3 linked regions of the Saccharomyces cerevisiae S288C genome follow. The protein of the gene in region 2 binds, or shares a complex with, the protein of the main gene of each other region. Each region holds a gene or a part of one and is shown on either strand. Other genes may lie near its edges. The genes, in order: IML3, CHL4 and MCM21. A codon is read from its position in the direction of its gene.

Region 1 (3,031 bases), on a different chromosome or scaffold from region 2:
CTTTCATCGTTTTCTTTGTTTCCAGAGTTCCTTTCATTGTCTGCAGTAGTAGTTCTTGAATGCTTTGCTGGCAATGAAGCCGCCGAAGAGGTTGTGTTAGGCTGTATTTTCCCACTTGGCGCAGGTTCCTGGTGTACAACTGCTCCTCTATCCCTATGAGTGGGAGGTGGTGGAAGGCTACTAACGTCTACAGTGGGAATATCGATTTTGGGCTTCGGAGCAGGTGCGTCTGGGTCAAATGGAGTAACTTCAAAATGTGGGGTTGAGCCAGTAGAATCAAGAGAAGGCTCAATCGGATAGATGTTTCCCTGTTGCATTGGTTGCGGTGGCTGTGGCTGCATTCTTACAGGCACAGGCGGTTGTCCACCGACTGGAGGCTGACCTTGCATGGGTGAAGCTCCATAGCTGGGGTTCGAATCTTGCATGTTTGTAGTACTTGACATGGCTTGGCCATAGACAGGCTGAACCGCAGCCATCCCAGAAACTCCTTCCACGTTCATTTGTGGCAACAAAGCGTTGTTTTGGTTCAGAGGCTGCTGTTGCTGTTGCTGTTGCTGTTGCTGTTGCCCAAAGCCATTTGACAGAGGCTCTCCGGGCGCTGGCAAGATCACTTGACCGCGCGGGGGCGGTAATGGTTGCCCTTGTTGTTGCTGTTGTGGTTGTGCAGGTGATGGTAAAACTTGCTGGCCAAACTGTGTCGTGGGCTGCTGCTGTTGGCCCGATGGAAATTGGGATTGTCCGAGATTGGTTGAGCCATGTGATACGTATTGCGGCTGCTGATGACACTGAAGACCGTTCTGGAAAGACGGTGATGGTGCCGGATTACTTGATTGGGTACCATATTGCAGATTTTGCGAGACAAACCCTGTGCTTTGCTGAGAAGCAGAGTTCAGAGATACCTGACTTGGAATTGCATTTTGGGGTTGATTTTGTTGCGGCAGCGACTGGTAGCTGGTTGCATTAGAATTTGACCCATACGGTGGTACTTGCTCTCCATATATAGGCGGCTGCTGTGGCACTACACCTTGTTGCAGCTGCTGTTGCTGTGGCATTACACCTTGTTGCAGCTGCTGTTGTGGATACTGATTATACTGTGGTTGTGCGTATTGTGACTGTTCCGTCGATCCTGCGCCAGGTTGGCCTTGGTATGCACCCTGAAAAGCATAACTGGCCTGACCATTTGGCATTTGCTGTTGCTGTTGTCCTGTATAAGTTTTTTGTCCAGGTTTCAAAGGTGGGGGAGGAAAGGACTTTGGGTCTTTTAAACTTCTTATATCGGTCGGCTTTCTTTCGTACTCCATCTCATCTTCGCTATCATACTCCTCATCACTTGAATTTTTCTTACCACTCTTCCTTTCCCTACGCGCTTTGCTGTTGTTATAGTGCTTCTTACTTGCCTTATACCCTGTCTTGGCAACGTACTTTGTTCCTTGGTAACCATATTTACCGGCGCTCTTCAGCCCTGAAGTGATGGAATCTTTGTTGTTCTCCCAAAATCCCATGCTGGTTGATAACTTGATTTTTTTATGAAAGACCTCTCTCGAACATACGATTATGTAAACTCAAAATGACTTTATCCATATATGTATACACTTAATTTAGATGATGAAATATAAAAAAATAGGGTGGTCCCTGGTTTTCCTGAAGCGCGATTTAGGCAGATCCAGTGGTACTACGGGAAAAAAAAATGCCGACACCGATATGAAATAGACAACAACCATAGTGGGATGATCTGGTCGACTGCATGGTTGATTTGATTGTCTATAGGTATCAACGTACTTCCTTTGGATGGAATGCCTTATACTTGGAAGTTTTTAGGAATCAGCAAGCAACTTTCACTGGAAAATGGTATAGCAAAGTTGAACCAATTGCTAAACCTGGAAGTAGATTTAGACATTCAAACCATTCGAGTACCCAGTGATCCTGATGGTGGTACCGCCGCTGACGAGTATATCCGTTACGAAATGAGGTTGGACATCTCTAATTTAGATGAGGGCACTTACTCTAAGTTCATTTTCTTGGGGAACTCAAAAATGGAGGTGCCGATGTTTTTGTGCTATTGCGGGACAGATAACCGCAATGAAGTGGTATTGCAGTGGCTGAAGGCAGAGTACGGTGTCATTATGTGGCCGATAAAATTTGAACAGAAGACCATGATAAAGTTAGCTGACGCCAGCATTGTGCACGTAACGAAAGAGAACATCGAACAAATTACCTGGTTTAGCTCAAAGTTATATTTTGAACCAGAAACACAAGACAAAAACTTGCGGCAATTCAGTATAGAAATACCGAGAGAAAGCTGTGAGGGTTTGGCTCTTGGCTATGGTAATACTATGCACCCGTATAACGATGCAATTGTACCCTACATTTATAATGAAACGGGGATGGCGGTGGAAAGATTACCGTTGACTTCCGTCATATTGGCAGGGCACACGAAAATAATGAGAGAATCCATTGTCACTTCAACACGAAGTCTCAGGAACAGAGTTCTAGCAGTTGTACTCCAATCGATTCAGTTTACCAGCGAGTAACACTATAAAGAATATTCACCAAGATACAATAAAAAACCACAGCTCTACCTTTTTTGTACATATGAACCTGAAGACCTTCATGAATCATCGTCATTATCAGTAATATCCGGTTCGTCATATCTGCAATGACACCCCACAAAATCCCAGAGACATTACAATTTAGTGTAGAGATCCCGACACAACGGGCCAATGGCTGCTATGAACTAATGTTCACATAGTTTAATTTTGTTGAACTTTCAGTATATATTTGCATAAAATCATATAGACGAGCGCACTTAGCGGAAAGTGCGGCAGTCATACAAGCACGAGGAAAAAGAGGACACGACTCATTTTTCTTTACATGATAAGCCCAACAAAATGAAAACAAATAGAGTTCCTTGTTTTCATTTCATCTAATCAAGAAAAAAAAAGCAATTCTATGGCGATGTAGGAAAATAGACACAATTCGTCTAGCTTTATCTTATTTCATTCTATTTTTCTTATAACACTGCAGCAACTGC
Region 2 (3,576 bases):
AACAATGACAAGGATAATACCAAGTTACAAGCTGAACTTCATAAACTGCATCCAATGACCATTGAAAACGTTGCCGAAGCAAATTTTTTCAAAAAGAATGGCAAGGTTTTACATTTTAACAGTGCAGTTGTACAGATTGCCCCTCAATGCAATCTCACAATGATTCATGGCCAACCGAAAGAGAATACACTTAATGGGCTGTATCCGAGCGTAGCCTCTCAATTAGGTAGCCAAGAACTTGAGTATTTGACAGGTTTGGCTCATAACCTAGAAAATGAACAGACGGTGCTCGACCAGCTGGGCGACAGATGCAGCGAGACAAAACAACAAGTGATGAATAGCTGACATAGTTCATAATAATTGCCAGTAAACGTTATAGCTAGTGGCGAATGTCGAAGTGGAAATGCTATCACATTAATGTTGCAGATGAATATATATTTTCTTATTTGAGAAGATACACGCTATTTACTCTTTCAGCCATTACTGCTACCATTGTGGTTGTTATCTTGACGATGAACGATGTTGGATTGCTTGACTTTTTTCAGTAATTCATTGATACCCTCACCACCCGCAGTTAGTAATTTAGTCCTGTTTCTCCTACATGTCAGTGTATCATAATGTCTTTTCAATGCATCTTTCCTTGCAAAACCTTTGCCACATTGAGGACAAATGTTAGGCAATATGGCGAAGTGTGTCTTTTCGTGCCTTCTCAAATCTGATGATCTTGAAAATTCCAACGAACATTTCGCACATTTAAATCTTTTTTCACCAGTACTATTTCTACGATCTTGGGGTTTGCTTTTGCTGGACTTCGGTGGTTTTGGTAATGCGTTTTCCTTTTTAACCTTTATGTTACCGCCTTGACTATTTATATCAACACCATTTTCTGCCGGTATGAGTGCTGGTTTTTTATTTTGTAACCTGTTTTGCCTATTCCTTACCCTTTCTAATAACTCTTTTATTATAGGATCTATGTTATCTATATTTAATGATACATCCACTATTGCTTCTGTAGCCTGTTTGATAAATGCAGCATCCTGATCCTCCATTTGGTACTTTTTTGAAATTTATAATACCTCTTGACTTTTTTCCACTATATTATTAACAAATTCTTGGCATATGACATGAAACCCTATTCAATTATCCAGATGCATACATATATACCATGGATAGATATGTATATCTACTATATCTATATATACCTCGTCAATGTAATGAGGAAAGTTCCGAGGGCGACAAAGAGAACAAATATAGTTTTATTTATAATAATGATACAGAACTCAAGATTATTTCCTGCTTATTTTAAACTAAAAGTATAGCAAGTTCTAACCCACAATCAGGTTCTTTATTATTGTCAAGAAAATATAAACTGTGGCGTACTAAGCGTACTAAGTAAGGGACGAAAAACCATCACAAAATGTCACGTGCATGTTAGTCCAGTCGGGCAATAGATAGGGACTGTAAATTAAAGTTTATATTGAAATAAACAAAGGTAAATGGTAAAAGATTAGAAGCATAGAAAGCATCTGGCGTTATTTTAGCGGGGAAAGATTTTGGTGGATACTATCTTTGACTAGTATATTTGAGTAGCAATTAATGTCTAACGAATTACGGCTTGAAGATAACTATGTACCAACTTCCGACACACTAGTAGTTTTCAAACAATTGATGAAGCTGCCGGTAACGGTATTATATGATCTTACGCTATCATGGTTCGCAAAATTCGGTGGGTCATTTGATGGTGACATATATTTATTGACAGAAACATTAGACTTACTGATTGAGAAAGGCGTGAGGCGAAATGTTATAGTAAATAGGATATTATACGTATACTGGCCGGATGGCCTGAATGTTTTCCAATTAGCAGAAATAGATTGCCATTTAATGATAAGTAAACCAGAGAAATTTAAGTGGCTTCCATCAAAAGCTTTACGGGGAGATGGGAAACCTTACGTAGTAAAGCTCCAACCTGCCAAATTTATAGAAAATTTACAAACAGATCTAGCGAAAATTTACCATTGTCATGTTTACATGTTTAAACATCCCTCTTTGCCAGTGTTAATTACCAGAATACAGCTATTTGACAGCAATAATTTATTTTTGAGTACGCCTAATATAGGGAGTATAAATAAAGAGTCTCTTTACAACAAGTTAGACAAATTCCAAGGGAAACCATTAATATCAAGGAGACCATATTACGTTGCATTCCCGCTAAATTCTCCAATAATTTTCCATTCAGTTGACAAGGATATTTATGCTAGACTAGTTTTGCAGAGCATTAGTCGAACGATATCAGAAAGAGAAACAATCATCTTCAAACCGGTACAGAAAATACCCGTGAAATCAATACATAATATAATGACTTTATTAGGACCTTCGAGATTTGCGGAGTCTATGGGCCCATGGGAATGTTATGCTAGTGCTAACTTTGAACGGTCACCACTACACGACTACAAAAAGCACCAAGGCCTTACTGGTAAAAAGGTAATGGTTAGAGAATTTGATGATTCTTTCTTAAATGACGATGAGAATTTTTACGGAAAAGAAGAACCTGAAATTAGACGACTAAGGTTAGAGAAAAACATGATCAAATTCAAAGGTTCAGCAAACGGCGTAATGGATCAGAAATATAATGATTTGAAAGAATTTAACGAACATGTCCACAATATTAGGAATGGAAAGAAAAATGAAGATTCTGGTGAGCCAGTGTACATTTCTAGATACAGTTCCTTAGTTCCTATTGAAAAAGTTGGATTCACTTTAAAAAACGAAATAAACAGTAGAATAATTACCATAAAATTGAAATTTAATGGTAATGATATTTTTGGGGGATTACACGAACTATGCGATAAAAATTTAATAAATATTGATAAAGTTCCTGGGTGGTTGGCTGGAGAAAATGGATCGTTCTCAGGAACGATAATGAATGGAGATTTTCAGCGAGAGCAGGTTGCTAAAGGTGGTTTACTGTAGAAAACTACTGTGTTCTGTTATCGCTTCCAATAAAAAAAAAAAAAAAAAACCTATGCAAAAATTTCAGTCAAAGCATAACAAAACGAACCTTTTTTGTACTGCTCATTGAAGTATTTACGGGGCAGTATGGGCACTTGAAAGTAATTGTTCCGTTCTTCGATAATCTGTCTAGCGCCTTTTTAGAAATGATGTGATGGCATGCCAGTGAATAAGGAGGATTTTCTGTAGTGGTTTCCTCCTTTAAGACGGGACAGATGAAGATCGGATGGAAATGAGTCAGAAAATCTGGTAACTTGACATCAAATGGCAACTCATCTTTCGTAGTCCAGTCAACGTGCGCTAACTCCCTGATGGTTTTGTATTTGATGAAAAATTGGAAAGAAATTAAACCACTCAATACTATCAAAAACAAGGGAGAGTCAAAGAAAATATGTTTTGCAGCACAATATTCTTTTATAAATAACGACGTGCATTCTTTTAATTCCTTATTTACTTTAGAATCAATATCTTCAATAGGTTGACCTATTAGCGATTTAGTTAATAATGGTACGACGTTTTGCATTAATTCCTTCTCCCTATGTCTAAAGCAATCCAGGGGTGCGT
Region 3 (3,773 bases), 140 kb from region 2:
CTTTAGTCTAAATGTTACCAATCGTTATCCTTTTTTATCATCAATCCGTGCGTTTCAGTTGCTTTTAAATTTGATAACGCATTCTTATCATTTATGTCATTTTATTACATCATATATGATAATATTCCGTCACCTTGAATACTCATCAAGAAACGATAAGTTGTTGTAATTTAACAGTAACTCTGCATATAATTCAACAGGTAAAAACTAACTTTTATATCCTTGAACTTCTTCATTTTTGTGTCTTTCATTGAAAGTATAATTTTCCTTTTTTTTTTTTGGTTTTCAATACATATAATGATGGGTGACATTTTTTGTGTCATTTAGATTAAAAGAAATTTTAAGAAAAATTGACGTATTTAATTTTGATCCGCAGTAAACGCTATAAATTCTTTTTAATATAAATGACAGCTTTTTATACATATAGACCCTTTGAAGAATATTCCAAACTAGAAAGGTTGATCAGAAATGAGTTATAGTGTCAACACGTTTACAGATTACGTTTTATTGTTTGGATCATCTAGTTTAGTAGGAAAAGGTATTTTAGAGAACCTGTTGGACATAAATTTATATATTAAAAATGTTTCGGACCTACAAGGCAAGCTTGATAGCTTAAGTGAAATAAAGGGAAATGTCGTTCTCAATAAACATGTCTTTTGTGTTAATAGAAGGTGCATCAATGAGGAGAAATCATTTATGAAGACCATTGATTATATAAATATGAGATCAGTTACTTGGCAAGGTGGCAGATATTACTTGAGAAGCAGGAAAGAAAAAGACACTGAAAAAGTACCGTCTAGTCCTAATACTTTTTGTTATGATAATTTTGAAGAAGGATTTATTAAAAATACGCCTGAAGAGAGGGGAAAAGATGGTTATTCTTTTGTTTATAATCAGAAACAGTTCAGTTACACACTACATTATGCATGCGGAAAGGAAAAAGGTATTGAGATCATTTGTAATTTTACTGTAACGCAATTGATCATCCCCAGATCTGAAACTTGGCCAAAATTGCTTCCACGGATATTCTCAGGAACACAAAAGCTGGAAAAGTTTGACATTGACAACAAAAATTACGTTCCCGGTAGAAGTTTGCCTAGTCTGTGTGATATTAGCACTATGGTGTGCTCTTTGGGCTCCACCTCAGCTAGAGTGCGGAGAACTCAGGTACCAAGTTCCTTTGCTGACTATTACTTACCTTTTAATTTAGCACAAGAATTCACGAATACAACTAACAAAAGGTTGGTGGTTACAACTGCCTTTAATAATGATTTTCTTAGTAAAACTTTCGAGTATTTTAGAATAAAAGCTAAATTAGAAAATGACTTGGATGAAGCTTTGCCAAATAAGCTAAAGGAGCTAGTTATTTTGAGGCCAGGTCCGATGTGTGGACAGCACGGAAATCCTATAAACGTTGAATTGGGTAAAGAAAACTCCACTTTCTTGGAAAAAATTTTTTATTATCCTCACTATCTTTTAGTTTATAAAAAGAAATATATCAGTGAGGCCAGAAGGATTGGCTTAAGAACAAAGTTAAGCGAAATAATTGCTTCCAGTATATATAGGATGCCAGGATCTGCATTATTAGGATACGCTGTCCCAGTTTCAAAGGTTTCTTATGTTGCCTCTTTGATGGCGATTGAAAGGAAAAGTAAAGAGGCGGGACCTAAGCTGGAAGTAATTAGCAGTTATCAAATTGATATGATTGTGTGAACAGTCAGTCTTTTCTTTTGATAGATGCGAAGTTATTAAATAAATAGTAGCCTAATACATAAAAGAACCACTATATCATGGATTCGATACCTGGGCCGTCTTAAATTTTTATCGCATTGAATATGCAAACTTTATGTATTGTTTTACTAATCGCCAGTAATGGCCGACCAATTCTATGATAGATCTTCCCTAAGTTTATAATGATGGTAAGAAAACGCGCATATTTCAAAACTGAAGAAAAAACAAACAAAAGCCATATGGATAATGAGGGGAAAATGTGATTTCTTTACTTGAGCAATTCTTTCAAACTATCAGTAACGCTCCTGGCAATGAGTAGAATCGATGATTTACAGCAGGACATTGAATCTTTACTCAGTGAAAGTATGTGATTTTGAGGCTGTAACAATTTTCTTTCTTTTAAAAAAATGATTAAGTTGAACACTAACATAGTAGAATCTTCACAGTCAATTCATTAGAAGAAAGTCGTGAGAAGCTCAAAGCGAAGATAAAAGATAAAAGAAAAAATGAGGAGAGCGCTAATCCTATAGTACAAGAATTTGAAGATCTATTCGATCAATTCCCACAGTTGAATAATTTTTTATTTAATGAGCATCCAGAATTGGAAGAGACAGATGACAAGGACATATCAAGGGCGCAAGCGGATATACCAGCAACGCCAATACCGTATGAACCAAAGAAAAGAGCTAAGCTGGAGAATGAGGAAATTTTACCAGAACAAGAATGGGTTTTAAAGACCCAGCCAATGGTTCAGCATCAAATGTTTGATCCTGGGGTGGCAGATTTATTGGATACAGACATTCTAACGTCACCTTCAAAAAGAAAGCGAAAACTAAAAATAGACGATATTAGTACAAGTGATAGAAGTGAGTTGGAAGATTATATTGTCCTGGAAAATGTTTATAGAATGTTTGGTATAACATTTTTCCCTCTTGTGGACCCTATTGACCTTAAGATAAAAGATGCTAGCGGTGAAATATTTGTTGATAGAGAAATGCTGGGAATACGACTGGAAGTCTTCAGCGAACGGACATCCCAATTTGAAAAACCTCACTATGTATTGTTGAAAAAGAGGATCAAATCGAATAGTTGGTTCCTGTTCAAGCATACAATCCCGAGTTTCATTGATGTCCAAGGTATATTTGATGACACCAATGGGGGACTAGTGATATCTCATGATGACGCCTATTTATTTGCTAAAAGAGTCTTCCTGCAACTTGTGGAAGTACAGAAAAGACGACAGATTTTTAAGGACTTAGAAGCTAAGAAGATAATCCACGACTTAGATTTAGATTTAGAATCTTCAATGGTTTCGTTTTTTGTGAAGGATATTAAAGTCGAGTTGTTTGTAAAACAAAATGAAATAGTTTCATGTTCAATATTGGACGATATTCATGATTTTAGTCAAAATAATAAAAGTAAATGGGAAATTGCATTGCTCGGTTCTTTGGATGATTTGGAATTAAAATTAAACCATTCTTTCGCGACAATATTCAAGTGAATGTTAACAAAAATATACTTTATAGAAAGAGGATAGAGCTAATTTTCTCTGTTTATCATAGATATAAGTAATTGTGTAGTATCCCAATTTTGGGTAGAATGTGGTATATGAAAACAGGGCATATGAAACCCATAAGGCAACCTAACACTTTTTCCAAGATAGTATGATAATAAATAGCGGTAACCCAGAGAATACATATCCAAATTACTAGGACAGCGCAAACAATGGCAAGGCAAGCTCGTACCCACTTATTCACAACCCAAAACATATCTTCAGCTTGAACAAATCTACTGAATAAGTGAAGTTCCATCCAAAGAATCATGCTTATACTCACAAGAAAGCAGAAGTGTCCACTAATGTCAAACCCACCATCCCATTTCCCATTTTCTAGACGGCACTTTTCAGCTGATGTCGTTTTACTACCAGAACTGCATTCTCCCCCTGTCCAAATGAAAACATGATCGATAAATTGGAAATTCAAAAACAATAATAGATATTTTAGAACGAACTTGCAAGCATATTGAGTGATCATAATACTGAT

The links.
Region 1: the proteins of CHL4 (region 2) and IML3 are in contact, whole or in part, in a cryo-EM structure (PDB 6QLF), measured with the Saccharomyces cerevisiae proteins. Residues at the interface, in NP_010540.3 of Saccharomyces cerevisiae: Phe306 (codon at 2,512), Leu307 (codon at 2,515), Asn308 (codon at 2,518), Asp309 (codon at 2,521), Ser374 (codon at 2,716), Tyr376 (codon at 2,722), Leu389 (codon at 2,761), Asn391 (codon at 2,767), Ile393 (codon at 2,773), Asn394 (codon at 2,776), Arg396 (codon at 2,782), Ile397 (codon at 2,785), Ile398 (codon at 2,788), Thr399 (codon at 2,791), Ile400 (codon at 2,794), Lys401 (codon at 2,797), Leu402 (codon at 2,800), Lys403 (codon at 2,803), Phe404 (codon at 2,806), Asn405 (codon at 2,809), Gly406 (codon at 2,812), Asn407 (codon at 2,815), Asp408 (codon at 2,818), Ile409 (codon at 2,821), Gly411 (codon at 2,827), Gly412 (codon at 2,830), Leu413 (codon at 2,833), Glu415 (codon at 2,839), Leu416 (codon at 2,842), Lys419 (codon at 2,851); in NP_009665.3 of Saccharomyces cerevisiae: Pro151 (codon at 2,244), Glu152 (codon at 2,247), Thr153 (codon at 2,250), Gln154 (codon at 2,253), Asp155 (codon at 2,256), Lys156 (codon at 2,259), Asn157 (codon at 2,262), Leu158 (codon at 2,265), Arg159 (codon at 2,268), Gln160 (codon at 2,271), Phe161 (codon at 2,274), Ser162 (codon at 2,277), Ile163 (codon at 2,280), Glu164 (codon at 2,283), Ile165 (codon at 2,286), Pro166 (codon at 2,289), Ser169 (codon at 2,298), Gly172 (codon at 2,307), Leu173 (codon at 2,310), Leu175 (codon at 2,316), Gly176 (codon at 2,319), Tyr191 (codon at 2,364), Tyr193 (codon at 2,370), Asn194 (codon at 2,373), Glu195 (codon at 2,376), Thr196 (codon at 2,379), Gly197 (codon at 2,382), Met198 (codon at 2,385), Ala199 (codon at 2,388), Arg202 (codon at 2,397).
Region 3: the proteins of CHL4 (region 2) and MCM21 are in contact, whole or in part, in a cryo-EM structure (PDB 6QLE), measured with the Saccharomyces cerevisiae proteins. Residues at the interface, in NP_010540.3 of Saccharomyces cerevisiae: Lys117 (codon at 1,945), Pro118 (codon at 1,948), Val120 (codon at 1,954), Lys122 (codon at 1,960), Gln124 (codon at 1,966), Pro153 (codon at 2,053), Leu206 (codon at 2,212), Asn207 (codon at 2,215), Ser208 (codon at 2,218), Pro209 (codon at 2,221), Pro260 (codon at 2,374), Ser261 (codon at 2,377), Arg262 (codon at 2,380), Glu265 (codon at 2,389), Ser266 (codon at 2,392), Trp270 (codon at 2,404), Tyr273 (codon at 2,413), Ala274 (codon at 2,416), Ser275 (codon at 2,419), Phe278 (codon at 2,428), Glu279 (codon at 2,431), Arg280 (codon at 2,434), Ser281 (codon at 2,437), Pro282 (codon at 2,440), Leu283 (codon at 2,443), His284 (codon at 2,446), Tyr286 (codon at 2,452), Lys287 (codon at 2,455), His289 (codon at 2,461), Gly291 (codon at 2,467); in NP_010604.4 of Saccharomyces cerevisiae: Arg157 (codon at 2,594), Leu160 (codon at 2,603), Glu161 (codon at 2,606), Ile164 (codon at 2,615), Glu167 (codon at 2,624), Asn168 (codon at 2,627), Arg171 (codon at 2,636), Met172 (codon at 2,639), Phe178 (codon at 2,657), Leu180 (codon at 2,663), Asp182 (codon at 2,669), Pro183 (codon at 2,672), Ile184 (codon at 2,675), Leu186 (codon at 2,681), Ile188 (codon at 2,687), Ile195 (codon at 2,708), Arg199 (codon at 2,720), Met201 (codon at 2,726), Arg205 (codon at 2,738), Glu207 (codon at 2,744), Ser214 (codon at 2,765), Phe216 (codon at 2,771), Lys218 (codon at 2,777), Pro219 (codon at 2,780), His220 (codon at 2,783), Tyr221 (codon at 2,786), Leu223 (codon at 2,792), Arg227 (codon at 2,804), Ile228 (codon at 2,807), Phe234 (codon at 2,825).

The regions. Positions count from the first base shown.
Region 1 is NC_001134.8:453,293-456,323, reverse strand, and holds IML3 (Iml3p), read left to right. Parts: upstream 1-1,793; coding exon 1,794-2,531; downstream 2,532-3,031. Other genes in the region: AIM3 (Aim3p), read right to left, coding at 1-1,502. UniProt on the Saccharomyces cerevisiae protein: Component of the kinetochore, a multiprotein complex that assembles on centromeric DNA and attaches chromosomes to spindle microtubules, mediating chromosome segregation and sister chromatid segregation during meiosis and mitosis.
Region 2 is NC_001136.10:963,517-967,092, forward strand, and holds CHL4 (Chl4p), read left to right. Parts: upstream 1-1,596; coding exon 1,597-2,973; downstream 2,974-3,576. Other genes in the region: CCR4-NOT core subunit BTT1, read left to right, coding at 1-345; MET32 (Met32p), read right to left, coding at 474-1,049; ubiquitin-protein ligase RMD5, read right to left, coding at 3,041-3,576. UniProt on the Saccharomyces cerevisiae protein: Component of the kinetochore, a multiprotein complex that assembles on centromeric DNA and attaches chromosomes to spindle microtubules, mediating chromosome segregation and sister chromatid segregation during meiosis and mitosis.
Region 3 is NC_001136.10:1,101,716-1,105,488, forward strand, and holds MCM21 (Mcm21p), read left to right. Parts: upstream 1-2,042; coding exon 2,043-2,094; intron 2,095-2,177; coding exon 2,178-3,232; downstream 3,233-3,773. Other genes in the region: HIM1 (Him1p), read left to right, coding at 469-1,713; YFT2 (Yft2p), read right to left, coding at 3,288-3,773. UniProt on the Saccharomyces cerevisiae protein: Component of the kinetochore, a multiprotein complex that assembles on centromeric DNA and attaches chromosomes to spindle microtubules, mediating chromosome segregation and sister chromatid segregation during meiosis and mitosis.